3 linked regions of the Pelodiscus sinensis genome follow. The protein of the gene in region 1 interacts with the protein of each later gene in a pairwise test. Links are inferred from orthologs where the notes say so. Each region holds a gene or a part of one and is shown on either strand. Other genes may lie near its edges.

The links.
Region 2: the proteins of UBE2I (region 1) and DDX39A interact in a two-hybrid assay, tested with the Homo sapiens proteins (3 studies listed by BioGRID, with this or other methods). The link is inferred for Pelodiscus sinensis from reciprocal best matches to the Homo sapiens genes UBE2I and DDX39A.
Region 3: the proteins of UBE2I (region 1) and SETX interact in binary tests that used the Homo sapiens proteins (3 or more experiments, as listed by UniProt). The link is inferred for Pelodiscus sinensis from reciprocal best matches to the Homo sapiens genes UBE2I and SETX.

What each region holds. Positions count from the first base shown.
Region 1 is NC_134726.1:41,416,580-41,427,101, forward strand, and holds the start of UBE2I (SUMO-conjugating enzyme UBC9), read left to right. Parts: upstream 1-5,504; 5' UTR 5,505-5,615; intron 5,616-5,822; exon of another isoform or gene 5,823-6,006; intron 6,007-10,522. UniProt on the Homo sapiens protein: Accepts the ubiquitin-like proteins SUMO1, SUMO2, SUMO3, SUMO4 and SUMO1P1/SUMO5 from the UBLE1A-UBLE1B E1 complex and catalyzes their covalent attachment to other proteins with the help of an E3 ligase such as RANBP2, CBX4 and ZNF451.
Region 2 is NC_134729.1:10,430,473-10,441,360, reverse strand, and holds the start of DDX39A (ATP-dependent RNA helicase DDX39A), read left to right. Parts: upstream 1-6,061; 5' UTR 6,062-6,194; intron 6,195-7,502; 5' UTR 7,503-7,539; coding exon 7,540-7,747; intron 7,748-8,525; coding exon 8,526-8,653; intron 8,654-9,006; coding exon 9,007-9,099; intron 9,100-9,518; coding exon 9,519-9,702; intron 9,703-10,243; coding exon 10,244-10,362; intron 10,363-10,888. UniProt on the Homo sapiens protein: Helicase that plays an essential role in mRNA export and is involved in multiple steps in RNA metabolism including alternative splicing. Regulates nuclear mRNA export to the cytoplasm through association with ECD.
Region 3 is NC_134732.1:15,269,640-15,279,789, forward strand, and holds the start of SETX (putative helicase senataxin), read right to left. Parts: upstream 4,828-10,150; 5' UTR 4,660-4,827; intron 1-4,659. UniProt on the Homo sapiens protein: Probable RNA/DNA helicase involved in diverse aspects of RNA metabolism and genomic integrity.

The sequences.
Region 1 (10,522 bases):
TGAGAACAGCCTTTCTCCAGCTTCTTTGGAAACTCCCTTCAGGAAGCTTCCAAACCGTTACAGGACCGCTTGGGAATAGTGACCATAATATACTAACATTCAACATTCCTGTGGTGGGAAGAACACCTCAGCAGTCCAGCACCCTGGCATTTAATTTCAAAAAGGGGAATTACACAAAAATGAGGAGGTTAGTTAAACAGAAATTAAAAGGCACAGAGACTAGAGCCAAATCCCTGAAAGCTGCATGGAATCTTTTTAAAGACACCATAATAGAGGCCCAACTTAAATGTATACCCCAAATTCAAAAACATAGCAAGAGACCTAAAAAAGAGTCTCCGTGGCTTAACCACCATGGAAAAGAAGCAGTGAGGGACAAAAAGGTATCTTTTAAGAAGTGGAAGTCCAATCCTAGTGAGATAAATAGAAAGGAACATAAACACTGTCAAATCAAGTGTAAAAATGTAATAAGAAAAGCAAAAAAAGATTTTGAGGAACAGCTAGCCAAAAACTCAAAAAGAAATAAAATGTTTTTTAAGTACATTAGAAGCAGGAAGCCTGCTAAAAAATCCTGTGGGTCCCCTAGACGATCGAGCTGTAAAAGGAGCAATCAAGGACGATAAAGCCATTGCGGAGAAACTAAACGATTTCTTTGCTTCAGTCTTCACGGCTGAGGACGTTGGGGAGATTCCTGAATCTGCACCATCCTTTGTGGATGATGAATCTGAGGAACTGTCCTGGATTGAAGTGTCATTAGAGGAGGTTTTGGAACAAATAGAAAAACTTAGGCTACGTCTACACTGGCCCCTTTTCCGGAAGGGGCATGTAAATTTCACCAGTCGTCGTAGGGAAATCCGCGGGGGATTTAAATATCCCCCGCGGCATTTAAATAAAAATGTCCGCCGCTTTTTTCCGGCTTTTAAAAAAGCCGGAAAAGAGCGTCTACACTGGCCCCGATCCTCCGGAAAAAGTGCCCTTTTCCGGAGGATCGGGGCCAGTGTAGACGCTCTTTTCCGGCTTTTTTAAAAGCCGGAAAAAAGCGGCGGACATTTTTATTTAAATGCCGCGGGGGATATTTAAATCCCCCGCGGATTTCCCTACGACGACTGGTGAAATTTACATGCCCCTTCCGGAAAAGGGGCCAGTGTAGACGTAGCCTTAATGTTAACAAATCTCCGGGACCGGATGGCATTCATCCAAGGGTTCTAAAAGAACTCAAATGGGAAATTGCTGAGCTATAATCTGTGGTTTGTAACCTATCCTTTAAATCGGCTTCTGTACCTGATGACTGGAAGGTAGCCAACGTGACACCAATATTTAAAAAGGGCTCTAGAGGCGATCCTGGCAATTACAGACCGGTAAGTCTAACTTCAGTACCGGGCAAATTAGTAGAAACAATAGTAAAGAATAAAATTGTGAAGCATGTAGAAGAACATAATTTGTTGGACAAAAGTCAACATGGTTTCTGTAAAGGGAAATCCTGTTTTACTAATCTGTTAGAGTTCTTTGAAGGGGTTAACAAACATGCGGACAAGGGGGATCCAGTAGATATAGTATACTTGGATTTTCAGAAAGCCTTTGACAAGGTCCCTCCCCAAAGGCTCTTGTGTAAATTACATGGCCATGGGATAAGAGGGAAGGTCCTTTCTTGGATTGAGAACTGGTTAAAAGACAGGAAACAAAGGGTAGGAATAAATGGTAAATTTTCAGATTGGAGAGGGGTAACTAGTGGTGTACCCCAAGGGTCAGTCCTGGGACCAATCCTTTTCAACTTATTCATAAATGATCTGGAGAAAGGGTGAGGTAGTAAAGCAGTGAAGGTACGTCTACACTACAGCGCTAGTTCGAACTAACTTAGTTCGAATTAGTTAATTCGAACTAAGCTAATTCGAACTAACGCGTCTAGAACTAAAAACTAGTTCGAATTAGCGTTTTGCCAGGTACAGGGTCTGCTGGCTGGGTGCTGGCAGGCTTGCACCTGGCACGGGCACCGTAGCCAGCCCGTGCCCCTTTAAGGGGTCCGGGGCCGGGAGGGGGGCATAGAGTTTCCCTGGTGTTGGCCAGAGTGGCCACCAGGGAAACCTGGGGAGGGCTAGCCTCCCACTAGTTCGAATTAAGGGGCTACACACCCCTTAATTCGAACTAGCTAGTTCGAACTAGGCTTAATCCTCGTAAAATGAGGTTTACCTAGTTCGAACTAAGCGCTCCGCTAGTTCGATTCAAATTCGAACTAGCGGAGCGCTAGTGTAGCGCCTATTAAAGTTAGTTCGAACTAATGTCCGTTAGTTCGAACTAACTTTGTAGTGTAGACATACCCTGGGGTAGTAAAGTTTGCAGATGATACCAAACTGTTTAGGATAGTCAAGACAGAAGCAGACTGTGAGGGACTCCAAAAAGATCTCACCAAACTGAGTGATTGGGCAACAAAACGGCAAATGAAATTTAATGTGGATAAGTGTAAAGTAATGCACATCCGGAAAAATAACCCCAACTATATGTACAGTATGATGGGAACTAATTTGGCTACGACAAATCAGGAAAGAGACCTTGGAGTTATCGTGGACAGTTATCTGAGAACTTCCCCGCAGTGTGCAGCGGCGGTCAAAAAGGCAAATAGGATGCTAGGAATTATTAGGAAAGGGATAGAAAATAAGACCCAGAATGTCTTACTGCCCCTGTCTAAAACTATGGTACGCCCACATCTTAAATACTGTGTACAGATGTGGTCTCCTCACCTCAAAAAAGATATTTTGGCCTTGGAAAGGGTTCAGAAAAGGGCAACTAAAATGATTAGGGGTTTGGAACGGGTCCCATATGAGGAGAGGTTAAAGAGACTGGGACTTTTCAGTTTAGAAAAGAGGAGACTGAGGGGGGATATGATAGAAGTCTGTAAAATCATGAGTGGTGTGGAGAGGGCCGATAAAGAAAAGTTATTTATTAGTTCCCTAAATAGAAGAACTAGAGGACACCAAATGAAATTAATGGGGAGCAGGTTTAAAACTAATAAAAGAAAGTTCTTCTTCACACAGCGTGTAGTCAACCTGTGGAACTCCTTGCCAGAGGAGACTGTGAAGGCTAGGACTATAATAGAGTTTAAAGAGAAGCTAGATAATTTCATGGAGGTTAGGTCCATAAAAGGCTATTAGTCAGGGGATAAAATGGTGTCCTTGGCCTCTGTCTGTCAGAGGCTGGAGAGGGATGGCAGGAGACAAATCGCTTGATCATTGTCTTCGGTCCACCCTCTCTGGGGTACCTGGTGCTGGCCACTGTTGGCAGGCAGGATACTGGGCTAGATGGACCTTTGGTCTGACCCAGTACGGCCGTTCTTATGTTCTTATGCTATCAATGCCAATTCTCTTCCAGAATATGATGTGAGGAAGTGGGTCTGGCCCATGAAAGCTCATCACCTATTAAACCATCTTGTTAGTCTTTAAAGTGCTACATAGTTTTTCCTTTTGTTTTAGCAAGATCAGACTAACATGGCTACCCCACTATTACTATCAAATCCCCCTTCACTCTTCTCTTCTGCAGACTAAATAAGCCCAAATCCCTCAGCCTCTCCTTGTAGACCATGTGTTCCAGCCGCCTCCACAGGATCCTCTCTGGTACATCCACATCCTTTCTATAGTGAGGTTGGAAGGGGGGGCAGAACTGGACACAATACTCCGGATGTGGCCTCACCAATGCCAAATAAAGGGGAATAATCACTTCTCTAGATATGCTGGAAATGCTCCTCCTAATGCCGTGGTCACCAACAGGTTGATCACATCAATTGGTCAATCGCAAGGCCTGAACCAGTCAATCGTGAGGCAACCGGGCCTCACCCCCATTTTCCACCCACCCCCCGAGAAGCCCCAGTACTCACCTCCAGCGAAAATGGAGGTAGTGCCGGCTTCCCGCGGGTGGATGGAAGTCCCGCAGCTTAGTGCCACTTCCGGAAGTGCGCTGGCTGGTTTGCCAGGCGCGCTGTGGGAGGGGCCCTGGGTCCGGAAGAGGAGCACGGTGATTTCCCTGCACCGGCGCAGGAGGTGTGAGTTGTCCCCGGGGCAGGCGTGCGCAGGGTTTCCCTGCATCATGGGGAAAGGGGGGGGGAGTGTGTTTTGGCCCCAGGCCAGACGAACGTGGCACCCTGTTCCCTGCCCCAGAACCCACTAGCACCCCTCCCCAGTACTGTGTCCCCTGCTCCCGACTGACTTTTCTATGCTTCAGGGTCATGCTGGACACTGTCTCTGCCCTCACAGCATCATCATCTGCTACTCAGACCTGAAGCCTCTGCAACTGCCCTAAGGAATCCTCTCTTGCTCACTCACTCCCCTTCTCCCAATCAGACTCTGATGTAGGTACAGTACTGCACTTCTAGTCTTCTATTCCTGCTGATTCCATCTTCTCTCCTCCTGCTTTTCCCTCTTTATCCTTAACGAGCAACACTGCATGTGATGCCTCCCATCGACATCCTGCCCTCACCTAGCTCTTTCCCATCCACTTTCCTTTCCGTTTTTCAACAGACTAATCCTTTCTTACTTCAGCTTCAGTATTGACATCATGTCAAGCCCTTTAGCTGTCTATCTCCCCTCCCTCACCTCTTCATTCAACCTGCTAGTCTCCCACTCATGAAACAGCCACTCTTTTGTAGTGAAGCACTGGAATGGGTTATTTAGGGAAGTAGTGGAGTCTCCATCTCTAGAGGGCTGTGTCTAGACTGGCCAGTTTTTCTGAAAAATCAGCTGCTTTTCCGGAAAAACTTGCCAGCTGTCTACACTGGCCGCTTGAATTTCCACAAAAGCACTGACTTCCTACTGTAAGAAATCAGTGCTTCTTGCGGAAATACTATTCTGCTCCCGTTTAGGCAAAAGTTCCTTTTGCGCAAAGCTTTTGCACAAAAGGGCCAGTGTAGACAGCTCAGAGGGGGGAGGTGGGCGTGTGAGCGGGGACTGATTGTGAGCAGAGGGGGAGGTGGGTGTGTGAACATGAGTGATTGTGAGCAGAGATGGGCGTGTGAGTGGGGACTGATTGTGAGCAGAGGGGGAGGTGGGTATGTGAACATGAGTGATTGTGAGCAGAGGTGGGCGTGTAAGCAGGGAGTGATTGTGAGCAGAGGGGAGTAAGTAGGGGAAATGACTGTAAGCAGGGGTGATTATCAGCAGGGGGAGTGATTGTGAGCAGAGGGGGGAGGGGGAGTGATTGTGAGCAGGGGGAGTGATTGTGAGCAGAGGGAGGAGGGGGAATGATTGTGAGCAGGGGGAGTGATTGTGAGCAGAGGGGGGAGGGGGAATGATTGTGAGCAGGGGGAGTGATTGTGAGCAGAGGGGGGAGGGGGAATGATTGTGACTGTGAGCGTGGACTATGGAATAGACCCAGCCCACACCGGTCGGCCCACGTGGGGAACACGCGGCGGGGTGGACCCGCACGAGACGTTCTGGGGACCCCCCGCCAGTCGCTGGGCAGAGCAAACACCCCTTGTGACGTCACAGGAATCCAGGCGCCACCGGCCTCTGCACACGACACTCGTGGGAGCCAGGCAAGGGGACCTATCCCGCCGAGCCCCGCCCCTTCGTGGTGCTGCCGAAGGCCCCGCGCGCTTTCCAGTCCGCCGCAGTCTTTGCCGCAGAAAGGCGCAGGTAACTAACTCAGTGCCTGTAGGAACGATCCACCCAGGGGCTCGTGGGAGCGGGAGTGGGCCCGGCAGGAGCAGCTGGGAGGCGAGGCACAAAGGGATGGAGGGAGACGGGAGGGAGGCCACAGCAAGCCTCCCTCATGGGCCGCTCGGGCTCCGTACAGGCCACCTAAAGGCCCTTTGTCCTCGACGGGTCGGCTTGAGGGTCATACTGCGCCGGCGCAGAGGGACAGACGGGTCGGACTGAGGGACATACCACGCTGCTGCGCTCCGCACCGACCAAGGAGGGAGGGAAAGTCCGGACCAGAGACAAAGGGGGGAGCCGAGTCGGGAACATCCGGGTCACTCGCTGCCGCCTCAATCCGGGACACGCGCGGGTGCTGCGGCCGCTCACGGTGAGGCCTGGCCGGGCGCGGGCCGGAGGGCGGCGGGCCCGGGAGCGGGCCCTGGGGGCGTTCGGGCTCCGGCCCTTGCTCCCGAGCCGCCTTCGCTAGGCCCGGCGGCCTCGTCCGGCGCGGGGAGGCGGGAGCGGGGCTGCAGCCGGGCCCGAGCGCCGCGTACCTGGCCCCGCCTCGGCCTGTGCCCCGTGGTGCCCGGCGGCTGCTCCCCGCGGCCTGTGGGCAGCCTCGGCGACTGGCCCTGTTGGGCCCCGGGGCAGGGAGCGCGGCGCTGGCGGCGGTTGTCAGCGCGGCCCGAAGGCTGGGCTGCGAGGCACTCGGCTTGTGGCAGGCTCGTCACCGGGTAACCCTCGTGGCGGCTTTATGTAGGCAACGCCAGACACCCCCTTTTCTGCTCTCCTGCTTTTATCGCCCAGCCTTGTCCTGGCTGGGTCCCCTCTTTCGGCTGGGTCCGCTCTTCCTAGAAGCAGAAGCTTTTCACTCTTTGGACAAATTATTCATCCATGTGTTTTAGCACAGACGGAATCCTTAGCTTCTTAAAAGGGATGTGTAGTTGTATAAGGCTTGCTGTGTTAAGCACTTTAATACTACTATTGTGCTGTGGGCTAAGTAAGAATTGTTAAAGGTAACTAAGATGATCACCCTTTTGTTTTGCCTGTAACTGCTCCTATGAACCCTCATTTAGAGTATCGTATGCAAGTCTAATCACTGTGCCACAGGAAAGATGCTGCTTTGAATACATTGCCTCACAGGGAGACAAACAAGCTATTGGCACCAGATAAGCTGAGTAGCCAGGGAAATGGGTAATGGGCTATGTTGAGCAATTCATCTTTCAGACCTAGGGTTTATATTCAACCAAAGTAGTAAGTGACAGGTCTTACCTGTGGGTGTTGTTTTATATATCTTACTTGAAACATGTTTGGATATCTCAATTCCATTCCTAGTGGACAAATATCAGCATAACAAAAAATAATTGCAGTGATTGGTGCTCTGTGGCAAAGAACTGAATGGAATGTGTAGGCTGACCTTTCTTAAGTTTTTAAGTGGCCTTTGAAGGCCTATGCAGTCTTCATGACAGACAGTTCAGTTGCTTTCACTAGTAACCTTACCATGCTTAGAGAAAAATCAGACTCAGCAGAATTTATTTCCCATGGGAAAAGAGAAGACTCCAGACTTGCAAAGTGTGAGATGGAATTGTGAGAAACTCAAAAGCTAGTAACTGTAACTGGAAAATCAGTTATTTTAGGTAAAACTGCTAGTGTAAAGAAAACACACATGGAACAGATTACTCGGGAAAGCAGATGAAGCAGAGGAGAAATGAGTGACACCCCTTAGATTTATTTTTAGGAGTGTTGAGTGAAAAAGCAGGAAGGAGGTCAGATTAGGAGATGCTGGAGGGACTCTTGGTGCCTTAGTGTATATCAGAATGCTCAATCTGTTAATCTTCTGTGTCGAACACCAACAGTGATGCAATCTGAGTGATAAATGCTTGTAGGTCCTTTCATGGAGGGACATTCACTGGAGGTTAGACAGTCGCCTGCCTTGTTCTCCTACTGCACAGTCATAAGGGGGGGGGGATCTGCGTTAATAAGTGGCTCTTGGATAGTCCTGTAGCTCTGTCATAATTGCAGTCAGTGGGTGTAAAAGAGAGGGCAAGCTTTAAATACTTTGTTTTTTTATCTTTAAGGTAATTGAAACATGGGGTATTCCATGTAGCAGTTAGTCACCAGAAATCATAGTAGCTGCCAAAGGCCTGCCACAAACACGCATTTGATTTAATAGATTTTTAAATAACCTGAGGTAGAAAATGGCATGTTTCCTATTCATTTTTTTTTTTTAAACTTTTGCACTCTGAACTTCGAGTATTTCATAGGGAAGTTGCTAAGATCAAAATGAGAAGATGCCAGAGAATAAGGAAAATTAGATCTCTATTTGCTTGCGACAATTTCCTATGATGCAAATAATACCTTATACTTTTTTGGCACTTTCTGTCTGAGGATTTCAATGTGTTTTACAGTTAATTTTACATTCTTTCGTAACTCAGATTTTCAGAAGAATAAAGAGGCAGAGATGAAAATGAAATAGTCAATTTTAATTGCATTATAAATTTGTAACCTTTATTGCCTATAGTTTAAATTACTTAAACTGAATTTATTTTAAATCTTCAATTTTACTTTCTTTGTTTACAAATGCTTGTCCAAGAGGAAAGCAATATATGAAGTAAACATTGAAAATCAATTAAGTATCAAAACATTTAGCTGTTTTCCTTTAGCTGTTTTCCATGATGTGAGATGCATCTGAAGAAGTGGGTCTTTGCCCACAAAAGCTTATGCTCCAATAAATCTCTTAGTCTGTAAGGTGCCATAGGATTCCTCGTCACGTGGGGTGGTGGTTAGGGTACGTAAGCTGTGAACAATGTTGAGGAATATTTAAATCTGCTATTGGAATTTTAAAGAGTCAACATGGAAACATTCTCTTAGGCATATATTTTATGAATGCTTTACCCCATCATTGTATGCCAAAGTTGTGTTGAGTCAGTTGTAAGTAAGTTGCCAAGGTCATCTGTGTTGTGGCATACCTGGGAATAAAACTCAGATCTAAAAAGTTGAGTCACAGCTCAATCACTAAACAACAGTTCTTTGATTCTTTGATTTTTATGCAACAAATGTTGTACTTCAGTATTTTCTCTGCACCTTTAACGAGAAACATAACTTAGACCCTCACTTGTCTAAAATCACATTTGGCAAATTTTTGTCTTGACTGAGTTAATTTTTGCAGAAAATTGTTCTTTATTTCTGCACATTTCTAGCTAGTCACTTGGAAATTATGTAGACTATGTACATTTACCTGTAAATAAGGAATTCATTTTTCTATTTAGATATTTATAGTAGCACAAGAGTATTCATAGAGCCATGTATAGTGTTTTTCTCTTGAGAATGAAAGATGTAATGTTTTTTGGTTAACTTTTAATGGGTTTTAAGGTAGAAAACTTACTACGTGCTATGAAATCCATTTTTCAGGTCTTCAGTTTTGATTATTCTGGAGCTAAAAGTAATGTGTACTGATGGAAATGAATTCTATAGCTTAAAAGTAAATTCAGAGCATAAGGGACTGTGCTTTCTTGTGAAATAATTAAGTCAGCTAATAAATAGCCTCACTTGATATATTTGTGTATATTATTAATTTTCAAAGCATGCATATTGCATTTTTCAGAAGAGGCTTAAGAGCTTAAATCTCATCAACTTTCAGTGGAACTTTGGCTCTGAAATGTTCATGTCTTGCTTACAAATGGGACTTGCACATGTAAGTCACTTACGTGCTTTTGAAAATGTTACTAAACTGTAGAAAGTACAGGATTCTATCCTCACCAAGCAATATTTCAGGGCTGTGATTTATTTTTTCCATATAATACTGATCTGAAATTATAGTAATGTGAAAGGAAACTGATTTATGTGAAATAATACTTGGCATTTAGAGCTTTATAAATATTAATTTAATTCTGCATGCTTCTATGAGATCCTTATTTCCATTTCTCTCAGGGAGTGTGGGGAGTAGGTAGATATACTTATTCAACCTAATACATTTGATTTTGATGTAAGTGGGATTTTAGGGCGCTTCTCAAAACTTAGTGAAACTTAATCTTGAGGTAGAAATACTTAGACGCTAATGTAGACATAATATTGTGTGGTAAACTTTTGAAAGTAGTCTGAGTTTATCCTGATTAATATGTTAAGCCCGTGGTCACCAACCCATCGATCGTGATCGACTGGTCGATCAGGAGGGCTTGACCAGTCGATGGCGAGGCATTCGGGGCCCCCCCCCCAATTTCCCTCACCCCCAAGAAGCCCCACTACCTACCTCCCTCAGTGGGGTAGAGGGAAGTCCGGCAGCTGTGCGCCACTTCCGGGGTTTCCGGAAGTGTGCTTCCTGCTCACCTCCTTCAGGTCTGTGGTGCGCTGAGAGGAGGTAGGAGTCCTGGAGGAAGGCACGTGCTGAGGCTTTGGGGCCAGGAGGGGGGGGGGGAAGGGAGGAGAGAAGGGAGGGCAGGTGTGCACCGGGACTCCCCTCCTCTGCGAGGGAGGAGTCCCCGGGGAAGTGTGCGTTAGGGCTTCTGTCCTGGGGAGGGGAGGTGCACACCAGGGCTCCCTTCCTCTGCAGGGGAGGAGGTAGGAGTCCCAGGAGGAAACACGTGCCAGGGAGGAGGTTGGAGTCCCGGGGTGAAGTGCACGCTGGGACTCCTCTCCTCTGCCGGGGAGAGGGGAGGAGTCCCAGGGAGAAGCAAGCACTAGGGCTTCCCTCCTGGGGGGGGGGGGAGAGAGGGAGGCACGCACCGGGGCTCCCTTCCTCTGCGGGGGAGGAAGTAGGAGTCCCGGAGGAAGCGTGCACCGGGGAGGGCGGAGGAGTCCCCGGGGGGGAAGCGTGTGCCGGGGCTTTCTTCCTTTGCAGGGGAAGGGGGAGGAGTCCCGGGAGGAGGCTCTTGCTGGAGCTTCCCTCCTCTGGGGCGGGGAAGGAG
Region 2 (10,888 bases), on another chromosome or scaffold:
GCCCACCTATGGGTGGACCTGTGCCATTTTGGTGGGTATAGATTGTTGGGTGCAGGGGGATGTAGCTGCATTGGCCCCAGGAGATTAGAGAGTTGGGGAGGGTGAGGTCACAGCGCCCAGCTGCCCACACCACCATGTGGGGTACTGGGGCAGCACTGACAGCCAGGGGAGAGACCCCCGCACTCTGCAGCACAGAGCCCACAGGCACTGAACTGGGCCATTGGGTTCCAGGGATAGCGCCCCCTGCTGAGCCCCGCCTTGCCTCCTGCAGCACAGCACCCCCTGCTGGGTCTCCCACCTGGCTCCCTGTTGCACAGTGGCCCCTGCTGAGCCTCTGCCCTGCTCTCTGCCCCTTAGCGCCCCCTGCTGTTCTCCATCCTGCTCCCTGCAGCACAGAGCCCCCTACCAACATCCCTTCTCTGCAGACATATTTAAAGCCTGATGATAGAGTTAGTTCCCTCCCCAACCCACATCCACATTGTCTGCTTCGTTTGATAAGGATCCCCCCTGTTTACACGTTGCCCATCATTGTACCATATGCCCAACATTCCTGCGTAGGGGGGAGCATATGGGATTCTGGCACAGAGAGTCGCCAGATGGGCTCCCACCCATGAGGCTGCAGCAAAGAACCATCAAACCAACGCAGGCCACATGAGATCTACACTGCTCATGTAACAAAGGGAGAGGGAAAATCCATGGGGCCTGTGTTGGCTCCATGCCGGTGATTATTCAAAGAGGGGGCTGCATGGGAGCAGGGGGGAGGTTTTCATTGGGATCCTAAAACATTTTTCTGCCTGTCTCTAAAACCAGTGCCATAGTGCAGTGTGGGGCAGTGCTGTGCTGCAGGGAGCGAAATAGAAGCTCAGCAGGGGAGCTGTGCTGCAGGGATCAGGGTACGGGCTCAGCAGGGGGCGCTGTGCTGCAGGCGTGAGATGGAGGCTCAGTAACGGAGGCTGTGCTGCAAGGAGCAGGTGGAAAGGATCAGTAGGGGGCGCTGTGCTGCAAGGAGCAGGGTGGAAAGGATCAGTAGGGGGTGCTGTGCAGCAAGGAGCAGGGTGGAAAGGATCAGTAGGGGGCGCTGTGCTGCAAGGAGCAGGGTGGAAAGGATCAGTAGGGGGCGCTGTGCTGCAAGGAGCAGGGTGGAAAGGATCAGTAGGGGGCGCTGTGCTGCAAGGAGCAGGGTGGAAAGGATCAGTAGGGGGCGCTGTGCTGCAAGGAGCAGGGTGGAAAGGATCAGTAGGGGGCGCTGTGCTGCAAGGAGCAGGGTGGAAAGGATCAGTAGGGGGCGCTGTGCTGCAAGGAGCAGGGTGGAAAGGATCAGTAGGGGGCGCTGTGCTGCAAGGAGCAGGTGGAAAGGATCAGTAGGGGGCGCTGTGCTGCAAGGAGCAGGTGGAAAGGATCAATAGGGGCACTGTGCTGCAAGGAGCAGGGTGGAAAGGATCAGTAGGGGGCGCTGTGCTGCAAGGAGCAGGGTGGAAAGGATCAGTAGGGGGCGCTGTGCTGCAAGGAGCAGGGTGGAAAGGATCAGTAGGGGGCGCTCTTCCCTGGCACTCAGCACTTACCTCAATGTCAGTGGACCCAGGTCATTATGTCATAAACTGCTGGGACTGGCTGGCTGAGGTGTGCATGGAGATTCCTGGTCTTCGACTGGATGGGTGCTGACATCATAACAGTCCCGGGCAGAGGGTGATGCTGCAGGTGCTTCTCTGCCTCTGTAATACACGAGAGTTTCTGGGGGCACTGCTGAGAGGGCCAATTCAGGGCGAATTGCTTGGAGACAGAGCTACTTACAGCTTAAGTCTGGGAGTCCTTCACTATAAGGCACCAGCCAATCACAAAGAGCAGTTCTATTCACCGTACTGGCCAGCAAGAAGTCCTACATGCAATTTCCTTAGACACTCCAGTGCTCCTGTGCCACCACCAGCACCGCTCCAAGCACAGATGAGAGGTTATGAAAACTAATCTCGCCAAATCAAAATGGGTTTTCTGACCGCAAAGGACCAGCCACATTCCCAGCTCACTTTAGATCAGGGCTACTCAACTTTGGAAGCTCTGGGGGCCACAAAAATACTCCCAGCACATGCTGAGGGCCGCAAGTTAAGTGTAGTCGCAAATAGCTTCTTTCACACTGATTAAGTGCAAAGTGCACACTGATGCATACAAAGATTAAGGCAAGACTACACGATTTGCAGGCCCCATTTAAGTCTGTTCTGCTGATACTAATAAAATGCAATATTTACCCGATTTCCACCCACATGACCGCACTTTTGATGAGAACTTTTAAAAAGAAAAAGTTATATCCCAGTGTTTTGCGTGTTTAGCTTGAAGCTTCAGGTTGTGCACTTCTCAGAGTGATTTCACTCAGAAAAAGTTTCCAAACCAGAATGCTCCAACCTGTGGTGGGAGGGGAGCTAGACGAGTCATGCCGGACACAAGAGGCAAAAAAGGACAGGTGCTCCGGAGCCCCATCCTGGATTCCCAGCAGGGATGATGTCCCAGTGGAGGCCATGTTCAAAGGATCCCACCCACAAGCCACATGTTGAGCCCTGTGTACACCCAAACCGCACCGCGGACCGCAAACAAACAGGCTGCAGGCTGCATGGTGAGTCGCCATGCGTTAGACTGACATTACCCAAAAAGCATGCTGTGCCAGTCCTTTTGAATCTAAAATCTAAAGGGTTATCAATAACAAGAAATGGTGAGAGCTACAACTCTTAAAGGAATCAAATGCATGCACCAGTGGCAAAGTGTTTGGGGCAAGCTTGAAGCAGAGGTGAATAATCTGCTGTTTTAAATCAAGTCTCTGGAAGACACCCACTCAAGGGTCAACCATCCCTTCAAGCTTCAGTTCCTAGCAAAGCCCCTCCACAGGTGAGACGCTAGAATAAAGACAAATGGGCTTTGTCTACACAGCTGGCTTTTGCCAGCAGAGAGTATGCAAATGAAGTGCTGATTAGCATTTTGTCCTGCTTTATTTGCATAATCGATTCAAGCTGTTTTTGCGCAAGGGATTTTTGCGCAAAAACAAGCAGTGTGGACGTTTCCTTTTTGTGCAAAAACCCCTTTTTGCTTGTTTGTGCGCAAAAACCCCTTGCGCAAAAACGGTTTGAATCGATTATGCAAATGAAGTGTGACAAAATGCTAATCAGCACTTCATTTGCAAACTCCAGGGCTCTTTTTATATCATAGGCCACAATGAAGGACGCTCATGGCTCTCAGTGGGAAAATGCAGCTACAAAATGCAGTTTGTCACCTAAGCACAGCCCTTGTCCATGCAGGACTCAGTCCTTTTTAGGCAGCTACCATGGTCCAAATTCCAGATTGGAGGTTTGCAGGAAAGTCCACTGAGTGCAATTGGTGCTTCCCATGCTTCATTGTCCCAATCAACCTGAGAAGCCTTTCTCACACACACACACACACACACACACACACACACACACACACACACACACACACACAAATATGATACCTGCCCACAAATAGCATAAACAGAATCAGCGAATCATTAGCTTTCTATAGACACCTCACGTGGCCCACTTTATACAAGATTTAGTGCAAACATCTAGCAGTGGTTGCAACAATCACCTGTACGGACATATCACACTCCAGTAACAGTGCAGCCTCTTGGGACCCAATTCCGCTGGAGCAAACCTACAGATGCTACAGCCATGTGAATTGATCCCGATGCCATGGGGCGCCTGTCTCTACATAGACCCTTGTTCCCTTGCTCTGTCACTCGCTTTGCTCCACCACTGTCTCATGTCCATGACTGTCCTGGCATTTCCCTCTTCCTGGATGCAAATGGGACCGTGCAGGAATTGTGCCCTACCAGTTAATACTCCATTTAGAGGCGTGGTGCAGAGAAGGGCGGGGAGAAGATGGGGGCTGCTACAGACCAGTCCTGGAAGGACAGGGAGACAAAAACATTCAGACAAAAGGGAAGGGAGCAGCTGTAGAAAAGGGATGAATTTTGTGTGCCCTGCAGTATCTCAGAGCAGTGTTTCTCAACCTTTTTTTTATAAAGTACCCCCTTAAAAAAAATAAGTACCCCCAGTGCTTACAGTTTTCAGACACACAATTTTTTTTCTACCATTTTAACACATTTGTTTAAAAAACTTAATCATAGCCGGGCGGGTGATGACATTTTTGGGTGTAAAAAGTACAAAAGTAATAAAGCGCTGTACAACTTAAAACAAAAATTCAGTTTTCTCCAAATTTCAGTTGTGTTGATGTAGCCCCCCGACTTCTCTCGAGTACCCCTAAGGGAACTCGTACCACTGGTTGAGAAACACTGTCTCAGAGTATAGCCCAGTACTACAGTACAGCCGCTCCTCGAGTTGCGAACGGTTGAGTTATGACCATTTGCTCCAAAGCTCCTATGGAGCGGTCGTAAAGGCGGTCCCCTTACGAACAGCGCGGTCACGTGTAACTCAATGGGGTCCAAGTTACGAATAGATCGAGTTATGGGCAAGTGTTTGGTCCGTAAGTCGTTCGTAACTCGGGGAGAGGCTGTAGAGCTACCCCGAGGGGCTTGTTGGAGATGACTGGGCCAATCAGGCCTCACACCACTTTACTAGAATTCTTTGATGGGTCAACAAGCATGTGGCCAAGGGATCCAGTGGATGTAGTGAACTAGGATGTTCAGAAAGCCTTTGACAAGGTCCCTCGGCGAAAGCCCTTCAGCAAAGTCATGGGATACGAGGAGAGAAGGCCTTCTCATGTAAGTAATTAGGCAGAAGACAGGAACAAAGAGTAGGAATAAATGGTCAGTTTTCATAATGGAGAGTGGTAAATAGCAGGGTCACTGTAGGACCCTGCGATCAGAGCTCTTTGGAGAAGAGGATATAAAACTACTGAAGATGGCTCAGTCCAAAGCTGACGGCAGGGAGTTACAAAGAGACCTCACCAAACTGGGTGACAGGGCAACAAAATGGCAGGTGAAATGCAATGTTGATCACTGTAAAATAATGCAGGTTGGAAAAAAGAATCCTCACTAATCATACAAAATGCTGGGGACTAAATTAGCTGTTACCATGTGAGACTCAGATCTTGGAGTCATTGTGGAGAGTTCTCAGAAAACATGCACTCAATGTGCAGCGACAGTCAAAAAAGCAAACAGCAGCATGTCAGGAGCCATTAGGGAAGGGATAGAAAGTAGGAAATATCACAAAGCCACAGTATAACTCCCTGGTATGCCCACATCTTGAATACTGTATGCAGTTCTGGTCACCCCGTCTCTAAAACAAAATATTGGAATTGGGAAAGGCAGGGGGTTGAGGAGAGATTCATGAGACCAGGACTGTTCACTGTAGAAAAGACAGCACTGAAGGGGCATCTAGCTATAGGACGGGGGTGAAGAGACTGAATGAATTTCATAGAATCCTAGAGCTGGAAGAGACCTCAGGAGTCATCAAGTCCAGCCCCCTGCCCAAAGCAGGACCAATCCCAACTCAATCAACCCAGCCAGGGCTTTGTCAAGTGGAGACTTAACAGATTTGCTCCTTCCTATAACACAAGAACTGGGGTGACCAGATGACATGGACGGAGGGGGGGGGGCAGGTTTAAAATGTTGCAGCCTGCGGAACTCACTGCCAAGGGATGCTGGGGAGGCCAGACGTGAACTAGGCCAAGTCTATGGGCATAGTGACCCTGGCCACCAGCAGCCCTGCCCATCCCTCTGAGCTGTGTCTATCCTCATAGCCCTGCGCTTATCCTGATTGGAAGAAGAAGGGGGAGAGATAACTACTCCTGCCAGCACTTAAGATGGCGCCCCACTCCTTCCCATCTTCATGGTGTGTTTTTTGCCACCATTCAAGATGGCGTCTCATTCCAGGCTTCACTTGCCCTTTGTTCCTCCCTCTCTCAAGACCGCAGTGCTACCCTCGTAGGAAACTGATGGAAGGGCGCGCTGACTGGCAGATGAATTAACCCAATCAACAGGCAGCTTCCAAAGATGGACATCTCTATCAGCCAATAGACTGGCAGTTCCTCTGGCGGCATCCGCTAACTCCGGCGTAAGGCGGGCCTCGGGCCTCCAGCAGACCAATGAGAGTGGAGGGAGCGGCCCGGAATGGCGGGGCGTCGCGCCAATGGGAGTGGAGGCGGAAGAAGCGCTCTGTCGCCGGCAGAGGACGCGCCGCGCGGGAGTGGGAGCCGGAGCGCGGTACCACGTGAGCGGCCTCCGGGAGCGCGAGGTGAGAGCGGCCGGGCGGGGCGCTCACGCGAGCCCGGGGCTTGGGCTGCGGCCTGGTCGGCGCCGCGTCTCCCCCGCCCGGCCCGGCAACGGGGGGGGCCGGGGCCGGGAGCCTGCCCATGGCGGCCGCTCTGCTTGTGGGGGGGGCACGTGCCCCCAGCCCCCCCGGATCCTCCAGCGCCCCCTAATCCCGCCCGTAGCCCCGCCTCCCGCGCCCCGCAGTCCCGACCCGCGGGCCCCCAGCTCTGCCAGCGCCCCATAACCCCGACCCCCCAGCCCCCCCCGCAAGGGTACCGTAATGCCCGTCCACAGCCCCCAGCCCTGGCCCCCCAGCGCCCCATAACCCCGACCCCCCAGCCCCCCCCGCAAGGGTACCGTAATGCCCGTCCACAGCCCCCCCAGCCCTGGCCCCCCAGCGCCCCATAATCCCGACCCCCCAGCCCCCCCCCGCAAGGGTATCGTAATGCCCGTCCACAGCCCCCAGCCCTGGCTCCCCAGCGCCCCATAACCCCGACCCCCCAGCCACCTGGCTAGCCCAACCCCCCCCCCCGCAAGGGTATCGTAATGCCCGTCCACAGCCTCCCCATAACCCCGGCCCCCCAGCCCCCCCCCCCGCAAGGGTACCGTAATGCCCGTCCACAGCCCCCAGCCCTGGCCCCCCAGCGCCCCATAACCCCGACCCCCCAACCCCCCCCGCAAGGGTACCGTAATGCCCGTCCACAGCCCCCAGCCCTGGCCCCCCAGCGCCCCATAACCCCGACCCCCCAGCCACCTGGCTAGCCCAACCCCCCCCCCCCCGCAAGGGTATCGTAATGCCCGTCCACAGCCCCCCCAGCCCTGGCCCCCCAGCGCCCCATAATCCCGACTCCCCAACCCACCTCCCCAAGCGACCCAGTGTCCCATCTAGTGCCCCTCAATCCTGACCCATAGCCTCCCAGTCAGTGCCCCTCAATCCTGACCCACAACTCCCCTGGCTGTCCAGGCTCCCCACTCCCAGCTCTGCCAATGGCCCTCAATCCTGCCCAAGGCCCCTGGGCTAATGAAGTTTGGGGTTACTCCCCCACCCCAGCTCTGCCCGTGCCTCACGCTCTTGACCTGCAGCCTGTTACCCCAGCCTCATCTCCGTCCCAGCTCTGTGGGTGTGTCTCCATCCTGACCTAAAGCCCTTGTGCAAGTCCTGGGCTCCCCTCCACCTCTGTTGGCTCAGCACTGGCCTGAAGCCTTTACTAGCCTAGTACAGGCCTGGGTCCCTCAGTTCTGACCTGTCCAAACCCTGAGCTCCCTGTGCTAACACTGTTGGTACCTTCAGTGCAGCCCCGCAGCCCGAGTGCCCCGTTCCTCGCAGAATGGCGGAGCAGGATGTGGAGAACGAGCTGCTGGATTATGAGGAGGACGAGGAGCCCCAGGTGGTGGCGGACGCGGTGCCCCCTGCAGCAAAGAAGGACGTGAAGGGCTCCTATGTGTCCATCCACAGCTCAGGGTTCCGGGACTTCCTGCTCAAACCCGAGCTCCTGCGAGCCATTGTGGACTGTGGCTTCGAGCACCCGTCTGAAGGTAGGAGCGGAGCCGAGGCCCCTGGCCCCTGGGAGCGCAACCCCCTCGCCAGCCCGCCTGGGAGGACCTGCGGGCGGGGGCCATAGAGAGCGGCGCTGCCTGGTGAGAGCTGCGGGGATACGGGGGTGTCAGCAAAAGGAGTGTGATCCTGAGATCTGCCCTGCCAACTGGGGGCTACGGACGTTCAATAGCGACTGACTAATCGAATAGTCGATGTATTTTGCATTGACTATTCGATTAGTCGATGGGGCGCCTCCACCTTCGAAGTGTAGCAACAGCTCTAGGGCCCATGGGCTGTTGCTACACTTCAAAGGCGGAGGTGGAGCCTGGGATCAGCTGGGAACTCCCCCACTGACCCTGGGCTCTGTGTGGCGCTGCCGCTTTGAAACGCTGCGGGGAGCCTGGGGATACCCCAGCTGGCCCAGGCTTCAAGCGGTGCTACTGCTTTCAAGTACCCTCTCCTCTTTCCCCTCACCCCGCTGCCTCTTTCTGATGGAGGCAGCAAGGGATGGGGTGTGACCAGCCGACTAGTCCATCAGGCCTGTCTGCATTGGGGAAGCAGGGAGCGCTCTCCTTGGCACTCAGTATCAGCCCCAGTGCAGCACTGAGGGGCCCTGTGCCGCTGGGGGTGGGGTCTCAGTAGGTGACCCTAATGCCCCAGTGCTGGAGGGGGATGGGTTTAGCGGTTTGAGCAGCGGGCTGGGAGTCAGGACTCCTGGTTCTCCCCTCAACATGCTGCGCCCCATCTAACTGTCGTGTGTCTGCCCTCCCCTCGCAGTGCAGCACGAGTGCATCCCGCAGGCCATCCTGGGCATGGACGTGCTGTGCCAGGCCAAGTCGGGCATGGGCAAGACGGCTGTCTTCGTGCTGGCCACGCTGCAGCAGATTGAGCCGGTGGATGGGCAGGTATGGTTTGGGGGGGGGGGGGGGGAGCAGCCCTCTCTCTGACCCATTCCATGTGGGAAGGGGCCTGGGGCTGCCTATCCAGGTGTGGGGTAGACTTGGTGAAGAGACATCCTGGGCTCCAAGAGAAGGGCAGGGAAGGCGACGTGGACCCCTGATGCTTTAGCTTAGTCTGGTCTCCCCAGATCATTCATCCCTGTGAAGGGGCAAAGGGGGGGCACCTGTTCCCCAAATCTTGGAAGAGGGGGGAGGTGTCCATCCCCAGGAGGGTGTTCCTGGGTGGGGGTGTTGGGCTGCATCCCTGGAGAGGCAGGATGTCTCATGGGGTGCTGAGGTGACCCCGTCTCTCCCCCCAGGTGTCCGTGCTGGTGATGTGCCACACACGGGAGCTGGCGTTCCAGATCAGCAAGGAGTACGAGCGCTTCTCCAAGTACATGCCCAGCGTCAAGGTGATCCCATCCTCTGGCCCCCCACGCTGCCTGCGTCAAGGGGAGCCCCTCCCCAGCACCTCGGATGCCCTCAGGGGATGAGGCTGGCTCCCCTGTGGAGCTGCAGTGCTGTTTGGCCTGGCTGCAGGGCACGAGGGGTGGAATGTGGAAGCTGTTCCCGTCTTCTCTCTCGGATTGTGTGGGGTGGGTCAGGACTCCTGAGTTCTCTCCCGGCTCTGGGAGCGGAGTGGGGGTTGGAAGTCAGGACTCCTTAATTCTAGTCTAGGCTCTGCCACTAACCTGCCTTTGGACAAATCCCGGTTCCTTTGCCTCAGTTTCCCCCACTGAAAGGGGGAGGTGCTCTCCTAGCCCCAGGTGTGCTAGGTGCTTCTGGTTTACTGCCTGGCTGCTGACCCTGCTGTTCCCCCGGTCTCCTGCAGGTGGCGGTGTTCTTCGGGGGCCTCTCCATCAAGAAGGACGAGGAGGTGCTAAAGAAGAACTGCCCCCACATCGTGGTGGGGACCCCGGGCCGCATCCTGGCCTTGGTGCGCAACAAGAGCCTCAACCTGCGCAGCGTCAAGCACTTTGTGCTGGACGAGTGCGACAAGATGCTGGAGCAGCTTGGTGAGAAGGGGGGTGGACTGGGGTGTGGGGAGGGGGAGGGGCTTGGCATGCCTGGGGCACCTGAGCTCAAGGGGCTGTCTGCATGCTCTAGCAATTTGGTGACTCCTGGTCTGACTCGCAGCCCTGGGAGGGGAGTGGGGTCTAGTGGTCAGAGCAGGGCAGGCTGGGTTCTATCCCTACTCCCCTCCCAGAGCTGGGACTACATACCAGGGTAAGAACCTACTACACCTGCTTGGGTGGAGAGCACCTCCTTCCTCCAAGGCAGAAGCAGTGGGCCTGACCATCAGGATCAGGCCTGGAGCAGCTCAGTTGTGTGTCCCTGGAACCTGCTGGTCTGAAGCCCAGGCTGGTATTGTAGGCGGGGCAGGGCAGAGGGAGGCAGACACTCAGTGTAGCGGGATCGGTCTGGGATCGAGCGACCTAGAGGTGCCTACCTGGCTCTGGTGTGACCTCGGCAGGCTGGTTCTTTGCATGGATCCCAGCGCCTTCCCCCGAGTGGTCCCTCTGCTGTCCCTGTGCAGTGACCCCTCCCTCTCCACAGACATGCGGCGGGACGTGCAGGAGATCTTCCGGCTCACGCCCCACGAGAAGCAGTGCATGATGTTCAGCGCCACCCTCAGCAAGGAGATCCGGCCCGTCTGCAGGAAGTTCATGCAGGACGTGAGTTGCCTACCCCCCTCCATGGGCCTTGTCCCTCCAAGAAGAGCAATCCTCAGACCCAGCCTGCCCCTGGCTGGGCTCCACACTCGTGGCCTGGCTGCCCGCAACTCATCCAGCACTTGCTGGCTTAGTGGGGGACCCTAGTCAGCTCCCCTACACTGAGCAGGAGGCAGCCTGGGAGGGGCCAGCTGGTCTGGGGTTCCTGGCTCCCTCACGCTCAGTCCCTGGGAGCCCAGTGTCCTCTGAGGCCCTGGCCCAGTGGGGGCTCACGCCTGGCAGCATCTGGGCTCCTGGCACATGCGTAGCCTGGGCAAGGCAGGCGATTCTGACCCATGCTGGGGCGGAGCTTTGACCGCCTCTAGTGGCTGGGTTTCAGGGCAGGGGAAGGATCTACTACAGCTGCTGTCAGAGGGAATTCCTTCCAGGCTCAGGTTGTGGAGCCCTTGCTGGGAGTGCAGGGTCCAAAATGGGGTGGGGGCAGGGCTGGTTACACTCATGTGGCCCACGCAGGGTTGGGGGAAGCCCC
Region 3 (10,150 bases), on another chromosome or scaffold:
AAAAGCCATCTCAAATTCTCCACCATCTTTAACATTACACTCTCTCAGATTTTAGATAATTTCTGTTAGAGTTCACTTTTAAATTATCAGTGTTATGAAATGTCTAGGGCCATACCAAATTCATGGCCATGAAATATGCATCATGGATCATGAAATCTGTTCTTTCCTGTGCTTTTACACTATATTATACAGATTTCACATGGGAGACCCAAGCGTCTCTCAAACTAAGGGTCCTGGTCAAAAGAGAGATGGGGTGGGGGGAGATCATAAGTTTATTTTAGGGGGGCTGCAGTATTGCCATCCTTACTTCTGTGCTGCCTTCAGAACTTGGTGGCCAGAAAGTGGCAACTGCTCTCCGAGCACCCAGCTCTGAAGGCAGCACCCAGCCAGCAGTAACGCAGAAGTAAAGGTGACAATATGATATACCACACCACACTTATTTCTGCATTACTGCCTTCTGAACTGGGTGGCTGTTGATTGAGGGCCCAGCTCCGCAGGCAGCAATGCACAAGTGTGGCAATACAATACCATCCTATCCTTATTTCTTTGCTTCTGGTGGTAGCAGTTCTGCCTTCAGAGCTGAGCTCCCGGCCAGCAGCTGCCACTCTCCAGCTGCTCAGTTCTGAAGACAGTGCCAACAGCAGCACAGAAGTAAGGGTAGCAGTACCATACACACATACATACTATTCCTATTGGGGGTCAGGACTAGGGATGTAATAGTGTAGTCGATTAACCCATTAGCAAAAGCTTATAGGTTAATGCTTTAGACTACACATATTCCACACACACACCCCGGGCCAGTAAATTTTTTAGTAGGTTGGCCAGCAGCCCAGCTCAGTTCTGGCTCACGCCAAATCCAGAAGCTCATCCCCAGGAGCTGTAGCAGAGGCAGCAGCATTGGGCGACAGGCAGCTGGTCCGTGAGGAGAACTGGTTTTTAAACTGGCTCTCCTCACAGATCAGCTCCCACCTGGCAGCAGCATGGAGTGGCAACAGGCTCCTCGGGAGTGGGGCCAGAGCACACTGGCTGCTGGCCCCACCCCAGATGACTATAGAATAGTCGAGTAACTGATAAGAATACATTAGGTTAATTGACTATTCAATTAACTGATATGTAACATCCCTAGTCAGGACCCCTACAATTACAACACCATGATATTTCTGATGTGAATAGCTGAAATCATGAACATTTACTATTTAAAAAATTCTACGACCTTGAAATTGACTCAAATGGACTGTGTCAAATAACCAAAGCTTATGCAAGCTTAAAAATCAAAATATTATTGGTCAAAGATTCAACAGCACAATACAGAAACAAATGACCTAGTCTCGAGAACAGATTTTGCAGAAGTTATGTCTTCATGCTGTTCCAACGCATTAACTCAATTCTACTTATATTTATATCCCTGTTTATCACGGACAGGAAATGCCCCCAAATTGTTTTATTTCATGAGACACCCTAATCTTACTTTTCTGTGCTGTTTGCAACTGTTGTCCAAGGTTCTTGGATATCTGTTCCTAGTTAGTTAAACAATATTGCAACAATTACAATAGTTGCTTATTACTTAAAAAAGCCTAAGCAAAATCACAGAACACTATCTTGTCCTTGATGATCTGTACATTGCTAAAAATAAAAGAGTACACAGTTTCTAATACATTTCCAGAACCAAGTGTGCTGAAAGTAATAAATTAAGCATAGATACATATCTTTCAATAATACATTAATTTTGACTAGGTAATTTTGTCTAACACTTCCAACTGAAAGTACTCCACCACTCCCAATGTTTAAGAGTTGTATTTTTTTGATCGGTCAAGACATATAGCAAGATTCTAGTAAGCATGTATGACATTTTCCTATTTAAATGCTCAACCTTAAAATTAAAGCCAATTTTCTTCAAATTTGTTCTGTTCTTTCTATCTCAATGTATCTACAAACCATGCTAAGCTCATTATATTTGAAGTAATTGACTTAACCCACGTACAAAATTTCTGATTGAAAACTTTAAAGTAGTACACCCAAGTTGGTTCATTTTTCCCCAAAAATAGATTAATTCACCTCCAGGTCGAGAGCAAGCCATGAAAACTTTACCACCTCAGGAATTAGCTTTAAAATTCTGAGCAAAGAAAAAGGATTAGAATAGAAAACAGATTCAACCATAATCATATATAAAAACTTAACACATATAGTGTACTGCATGTTCAAGCCATTATAAAAGTACTAGCTAATTAAGTCTCAGAATCATATAAGACAGAGATATCCCAATTACACATTGTTTACATGCAAGCAGCTTCCTTACAGTGTAACCAATTACTCCACATCATTGGAGATGCTGCCTAACAGTTATTAAAGGTACTTCAGCAACAGTTTTACAATTACTTCAAAATATCTAAATGCCTCCAGTTAGCAGTAAGCCTGCCCCACAGGCTTAAGACAACTTCTATGGCTGTGGTATCCAATAAGTTTTGAAGCAGTAGCCACTACAGTAGCTACTGCTATAGCGAACTAGCCACACTCAACCGACCAAATAGCTGCTAGTGGCTAGTGTGTTGGACACCACAGTTCAATGGGATGGGCTCATAAGTGTTTCAGAAAATGTCATGTCTGTCCACACAAAGAGTATGAACCATGCAAGTGTATGCTTGCTGGGACTGCTGCCTCTGGAATGCCTGGTAAGTCTCTGCCAATTCAAGGACAAATGAAAAGTCTGGTTTGGAGAGAGTGATACCTGACCCCCAACTACAGGGAAAGATATCCCATTTTCTCTTCCTTGGGAAGGAAGGCAGGAAAAGGGATGTAGCTGTGAAAGAACAAGGAAAGTTGGTTTGTTTGTTGTTGTTTTTGGCAATTGGAGTCCAGAGGGTAATGTTTGTATATGTTTTCGACAAAAGGAGGAATTCTATCTACTAAGGATTCGGATTTGAGCTGACCTCTTCTCAAGCCTCTTCTCCACAGACATGTAGAGTTAAGAAGTAAATTTTTCTACTTCTCCAGACCTCCATCACACTTTGTTTTAGCATGATGGCGGTCTGGAGAAGTAGAAGAATTTACTTCTTAACTCTACATGTCTGTGGAGAAGAGGCTTGAGTGTAATAGAGAAAGGGGCAATTCCCATGCTGCAGATGGCACTGGCCGGAGAGGGCTGGTAAGGGAGCTGCGTCCATGCTTGGAGGGGGGAAGGCAGTTTCCATTCTTTGGGGGCACTCACCAAGCGAAGCTAAGGCAAGAATAATCTCCAGGCATGGGGGGGGAGGGCTGGAGCCGGGCAGGGTGGGCTGGGGTGGTCTCCAGGTCCTGGGGATACACATGACAGTGGAGAGCATGGGGGTCAGGGACAAGAGGGGTCTCAGGAAGGGGGGGGGAGAAGGAGGGAGGTAGGCTGGCAGGGGACAGTCTCCAGGCTCTGGGAGCGCTGCGGGGGGAACTGGGGCAGTCTCTAGGGGCACTGGCCGAGGACGGGGGGGGGGGGGCAGGCTCCAGGCTCTGGGAGCGCTGGGGGGGGGGGGGGGAGACTGGGGCAGTCTCTAGGGGCACTGGCCGAGGACGGGGGGGCAGGCTCCTGGCTCTGGGAGCGCTGGGGGGGGGGGGAGACTGGGGCAGTCTCTAGGGGCACTGGCCGAGGACGGGGGGGGGGGCAGGCTCCAGGCTCAGGGAGCGCTGGGGGGGGGGGGCTGGGGCAGTCTCTAGGGGCACTGGCCGAGGACGGGGGGGGCAGGCTCCTGGCTCAGGGAGCGCTGGGGGGGGGGCTGGGGCAGTCTCTAGGGGCACTGGCCGAGGACGGGGGGGGGGGGCAGGCTCCAGGCTCAGGGAGCGCTGGGGGGGGGCTGGGGCAGTCTCTAGGGGCACTGGCCGAGGACGGGGGGGGCAGGCTCCTGGCTCTGGGAGCGCTGGGGGGGGCTGGGGCAGTCTCTAGGGGCACTGGCCGAGGACGGGGGGGGCAGGCTCCAGGCTCAGGGAGCGCTGGGGGGGGGGGGGGCTGGGGCAGTCTCTAGGGGCACTGGCCGAGGACGGGGGGGGGCAGGCTCCAGGCTCAGGGAGCGCTGGGGGGGGGGGGCTGGGGCAGTCTCTAGGGGCACTGGCCGAGGACGGGGGGGGCAGGCTCCAGGCTCAGGGAGCGCTGGGGGGGGGGGGGCTGGGGCAGTCTCTAGGGGCACTGGCCGAGGACGGGGGGGCAGGCTCCAGGCTCAGGGAGCGCTGGGGGGGGGGGGGGGCTGGGGCAGTCTCTAGGGGCACTGGCCGAGGACGGGGGGGGGGCAGGCTCCAGGCTCTGGGAGCGGTGGGGTGGGGGCAGTCTCTAGGGGCACTGGCCGAGGACGGGGGGGGGGCAGGCTCCAGGCTCAGGGAGCGCTGGGGGGGGGGGGCTGGGGCAGTCTCTAGGGGCACTGGCCGAGGACGGGGGGGGGCAGGCTCCAGGCTCAGGGAGCGCTGGGGGGGGGCTGGGGCAGTCTCTAGGGGCACTGGCCGAGGACGGGGGGGGGGGCAGGCTCCAGGCTCAGGGAGCGCTGGGGGGGGGGGGGCAGTCTCTAGGGGCACTGGCCGAGGACGGGGGGGGGCAGGCTCCAGGCTCAGGGAGCGCTGGGGGGGGGGGGGAGAGACTAGAGCAGGCTCCGATAGGCGCGGCGGCTTCTCCTCTTTCCCTCCCCTTAAGCAGCGCCCCCTCACCTCCTCCCACCGCCAGCCTCCGGGCGCGGGCTTTGCTCTACTCCGCCACCATGGCCCCGCTGGGCATCCAGCCAACGCTCCCCTCAGGCCGAACCCAGGCGGCCGCCTCCCCCGCCCCGAGTTCTCTTCACTTCCGGCCGGCAGGGATGTCTCGGCCGGAAGTGAGTTTGTTTTTCCTCCGGGGCGGGGCGGGGCCGGGCGCGCACCGCTCGAACCTGACGGAACTCCGCCCGCGGGCCTGCGAGCGTCTTAAAGGGCCAGCGGCCGGCTTGGCGGGAGGCGCCCAGGGAAGGGTTCCATAGGTCAGTGCCTATGAGCCGGGTTCCATTGAGGTCAGCGCCCGCCAGCCTGGGTGAAGCCGGGCCGCTTCCTGGCAATGGGAAGTGTAAATACATGTGTGGGGATGCACTTGAACCTCCCTGTGCCTCGGTTTCCCCACCTGTACCTTAGGAATAAGAGCTTTGCCTCCCAGGCGTGGGGCGCCTCTTTTGGCAGCTTTGCCCCCACTAGTGCAACCCCCAAATGTTCAAAAAACCATGAGTCCGGCTCACCAAAAATCAAGAGACTGGCTTAAAAATGACAGGACTGTAAATATAATAGACGGGGTGTTATTTTTATTTACCCTCTGCTTCTGGAGCCTATAGGGTGCTCTGGGGTCAGAGTTGGAAACTTTCTTCACAGTCACAGAGGCTAGAAACTTTTTTTTTTTTCCTTTCAGAAAAATGAAGTTTCTAGCCTGCATGACGGTGGGGGAAGCTTTAGTCATCACATATCCACTGGGCTCCAGGAGCAGAGGCTTTAAGGAAACCAGTCACCATGGCTGTGTCTAGACTGGCAAGTTTTTCCGCAAAAGCACCTGCTTTTGCACAAAAACTTGCCAGCTGTCTATTCTGGCCGCTTGATTTTGCGCAAGAACACTGACTTTGTAATGTACAAAATCAGTGCTTCTTTTGCAAATACTTTCATGCTCCTGTTCGGGCAAAAGCCCTTTTCCGGAAATGCTTTTGCGCAAAAGGGCCATTGTAGACAGATAAAAACTGTTTTGCGCAAAAAAGCCCCGATGGCAAAAATGGTGATCAGGGCTTTCTTGTGCAAAACCGCGTCTAGATTGGCACTTTTCCGCAAAAAGTGCTTTTTTAAAAGCATTTGCGGAAAATCATGCCAGTCTAAACGTAGCCCATGGGATTCATGACAAAATTAAGAGAGTTAACAACAATGTTGTGCCCTCCCCCCTAACTACTGTACTGGGACAAATCCAGACATAATTTATCTGGCAGCAGACAGGGAATTTGCTGTTTAAAACAGACTGCTCCATCACCACCAGTGCATATAATACATATGAGGTCATGTCACTCCCCCACTACAAAGACTTTAACAACACTCTGTGACTGTGGAGAAATTACAGCTAGCAGCATCTACATGCTCTTACCAAAAATAGGAACACTTATGCTATGTATACAGTGCCCGTTTTGCACAAGAAATATGCAAATGAGACTAAGCGTGGAATATCATCGAGCCTCATTTGCATATGAGCACCAGCAAGAGGCTTTTACGCAAAAAGCGGGTGCTCATTAATTATGCATTAATTATTAAAGGCACAGGAAGAAACCATCCCAATGCGCAGCAAGAAAAGCAAATATGGTAGGCGACCAGATTGGCTTACTGGGGAAATCCTTCGTGAGCTTAAACACAAAAAGGAAGCTTACAAGAAGTAGAAAGGCCTTGTGTTCCCCTGGCCTTGTGTTCCCCTGAAGCAGGGGTGGGGCAAAGGGCAGCATGGCTGGTTACACTGGTGCTGGCCCACACACTGCCCAAGCCCCATGTCACCCTGAAGCGCGGGGCCCTCCCTAAAGCACGAGGTGCAGGGAAACTGCCCTGAACAGTCCCTATGAATGGGACAGCTCTAAAGCAGGTAGAATTATAGAACACTACAACTGGACCTTGAGAGGACAGGACTCAGTACCATTTAGACCAGTGTTTCTTAAACTTTAAGACTGAGGAACACCAAGCAATATTTTTTCTTTTATGAGGAACACCAAGGATTTTTTGTTGAGGGAAAAAAAGTCAGGGGACATTATTGAGAAAAAAAGTGCCTGCCCCTAAACCTTCCTGGCTGCAATTTAAGCCCATTGCTTCTTGACCTATATTCAGGACAAGGAGAACAATTTTTCTCCACCTTCTTGTAACACCCTGTAGATTCTGTCGTACCTCGGTGTTCTGTACCTCGATACCTTTGGTGGTCTGAACTGTCAATGTCAGCATCATCTGGTCAGGGTTGTCCTGGCATGCTCCTGACAGGACCTCTACTCCATTGATGATGATAAACTTTCGGCTGTGTGCGTAACAATCAATACTCCCTTTATCTAGAGTGTTAGACCCCGTTCACTTGGGTCAACACAGGAGATCTCTGAGAGGCCCTGGAAATGACAGATGCAGGCAAGGTTTGAAATCAATCAAGCAGGTTTATTGTCAAATGTGAAGCTCTACCAATTGGTAACAGAGATCGGTACAATGTTACACCACTGGGCACTATGGCCCGCGTTAACAGGGTATAAACACCGGGCAGGTCTATTGCCGTGTATCAGATATTAACAGCAGTTAGTCAAAGTTAAGCTACTGTGCATTTTGTAAGTTTAGGCAATGACATCTGCCGTTCAGGCACCTAGTGTGCCCGCCCTCTCTCCCCCAAGGTTGGCCGGAGAGCACCCTTTGCGGTGTCCTTTTATAAACAGGTACAAACAACTTACATACTTCTTTATGTACCAGGTTGCCACCCTCTGTTGCCTAGTTACCACCCCTCACTTTATGCAAGGGGGGCTTACCTTCTATATGTCATCCTGTCATTTCCGACCTGGTCCTGAACCTAGGTTGGTATGAGCCTAACTCATAGGGAGTTCTTGTACCAGGACATTCCTTAAGATGTTCCGTTACTCCCTTTTGGCTTACAGTCTGTACTTGGTGCTTCCCTGTGTCCTTCCATGCTTCACCTAACTTACACAATTACAGTTATCAGTAGGGCCTCAGTCTTGGCTCCTGTGTTACTGAACCAAAGTCTTGCTCACTGGATTACAGGGCTGTTGCTGTTTTCATGTTACAGGCTTCTATTTAGGCCTGTTGACTCCATGTTACTGAACCTCAACTTACTACAGATACTTGAAAATTGCTATTATGACCCCTCTCAGTTTTCTCTTTTCTAAACTAAAGCCCAGTTCTTTCAGTCTTCCTTCATAGCACATGTTTTCTAGGCCTTTAATCATTTTTGTTGCTCTTTTCTGGATCTTCTTCAGTTTCTCCACATCTTTCTTGAAATGGGGTGCCCAAAACTGGTCACAATACTCCAACTGAGGCCTAAACAGCACAGAGTGGAAGAATGACTTCTCGTGTCTTGCTCACAACACTCCTGTTAATCATGGTTGATTTTTTTACAACAGCGTCACACTGTTGACTCATATTTAGCTTGTGGTCCTCTATCACCATTAAATCCCTTTCAGTAGTACTCCTTCCTCAACAATCCCTTCCCATTCTGTATGTGTGAAATTGATTGCTCCTTCCTAAGTGGAGTATTTGCATTTGTCCTTATTAAACTTCATCCTATTTAGCTCAGACCATTTCTCTAGTTTGTCCAGATCATTTTGAATTTTGACCCTATCCTCCAAAGCACTTGCAACCAGCTTGGAATCATCTGCAAACTACTTTTTATGCCATCATCTAAATCATTGCCGGAGATATTGAACAAAACCAGTCCCAAAACAGACCACAGAGGAACCCCACTTGTTACGTCCTTCCAGCATGATTGTGAACTGTTAATAACTATTCTTTGATAACAGTTATCCAGCCAGTTATGCATCCACCTTATAATAGCCCTATCTAGGTTGTATTTCCCTAGTTGATTGATAAGGTCACACTAGCCCATGTTAAATGCCTTACTGAAGTCTAGATATACCACATCCACAGCTTCTCCCTTATCCACAAGCCTTCATATCCTATCAAAGGAAGCTATCAGATTGATTTGACATGATTTATTCTTTACAAATCCATGCTGGCTGTTTCCTATCGCCTTATTTTCTTCCAGATGTTTGCAGATGAATTCCTTAAGTACTTGTTCCATTATCTTCCCTGGCATAGAAGTTAAACTGACTGGTCTGTAGTTTCCTGGGTTGTTATTATTTCCCTTTTTATAGATGGACACTATATTTGCCATTTTCCAGTCTTCTGGAAACTCTCCCAACTTCCATGATTTTCAAAGATGTTGGCTAAAGGCTCAGATACCTCCTCTATCAGCTCCTTGAGTATTGTAGGATGCATTTCATCAGGCCCTGGTGACTTGAAGACATCTAACTTTTCTAAGTAATTGTTGTCTTGTTCTTTTTTAATTTTAACTTCTAAACCTACCCCATTTCCACTATCATTCACTATGTTCGGCATCCCGTCACCTTCAGACTTCTTGGTGAAAACTGAAACAAAAAAAGTCATTAAGCACTTCTGCCATTTCCAAATTTTCTGTTCTACTTTCTCCCTCTTCTCTGAGCAATGGGCCTACCTTGTCCTGGGTCTTCCTCTTGCTTCTAATGTATTTGTAGAATGGTCTTCTTATTACCTGTTATGTCTCTAGCTAGATTTAGCTTGTTTTATGCCTCTTCCTTTGTAATCTTGCCCCTGTATACCTGTGTTGTTTGCTTATATTCATCCTTTGAAATTTGACCTAGTTTCCACTTTTTATGAGACTCCTTTTTGATTTTTAGATCATGTGAGATCTCCTGGTTGATCCAAGGTGGTCTCCTGCCATACTTTCTATCTTTCCTACACAGTGGAATAGTTTGCTTTTGAGCCCTTAACAATGTCCCTTTAAAAAACTGCCAACTCTCTTCAGTTGTTCTTCCTCTTAGTCTTGCTTCCCATGGGACCTAACCTATCAGCTCTCAAGTTTACTAAAATCTGCCTTCCTGAAATCCGTTATCACTATTTAGCAGTTCTCCCTTCTACCACTCCTTAGAATCATGAACTCTATGATTTCACGATCACTTTCATCCAAGCTGCCTTCCACTTCCCAATTTTCAACCAGTTCCTCTCTATTTGTTAAAATCAAATCAAGAACAGCTTCCCCTCAGTAGCTTTCTCAACCTTCTGAAATAAAAATGGTCTCCAATGCAGTACGAGAACTTGTTGGATAATCTGTGCCCCACTATGTTAGTTTCCCAACCTATGTCTGGATAGTTACAATCTCCATCACCACCAAATTCTGCACTTTGAATGATTTTGTTAGTTTAAAAAAGCCTGATCTACCTCTTCTGCCTGGGTAGGTGATCTGTGGTAGACCCCTAGCATGACATCACCCTTGTTTTTTTACCCCTTTTAACCTAACCCAGAGACTCTCAACAAGTCTGTCTCCTATGTCCATCTACACCTCAGTCCAAGTGTATACATTTTTAATATACAAGGCAATGTATGCATATGTATTATATGAGGAACTTGTAATAATGCCCAATCCTGT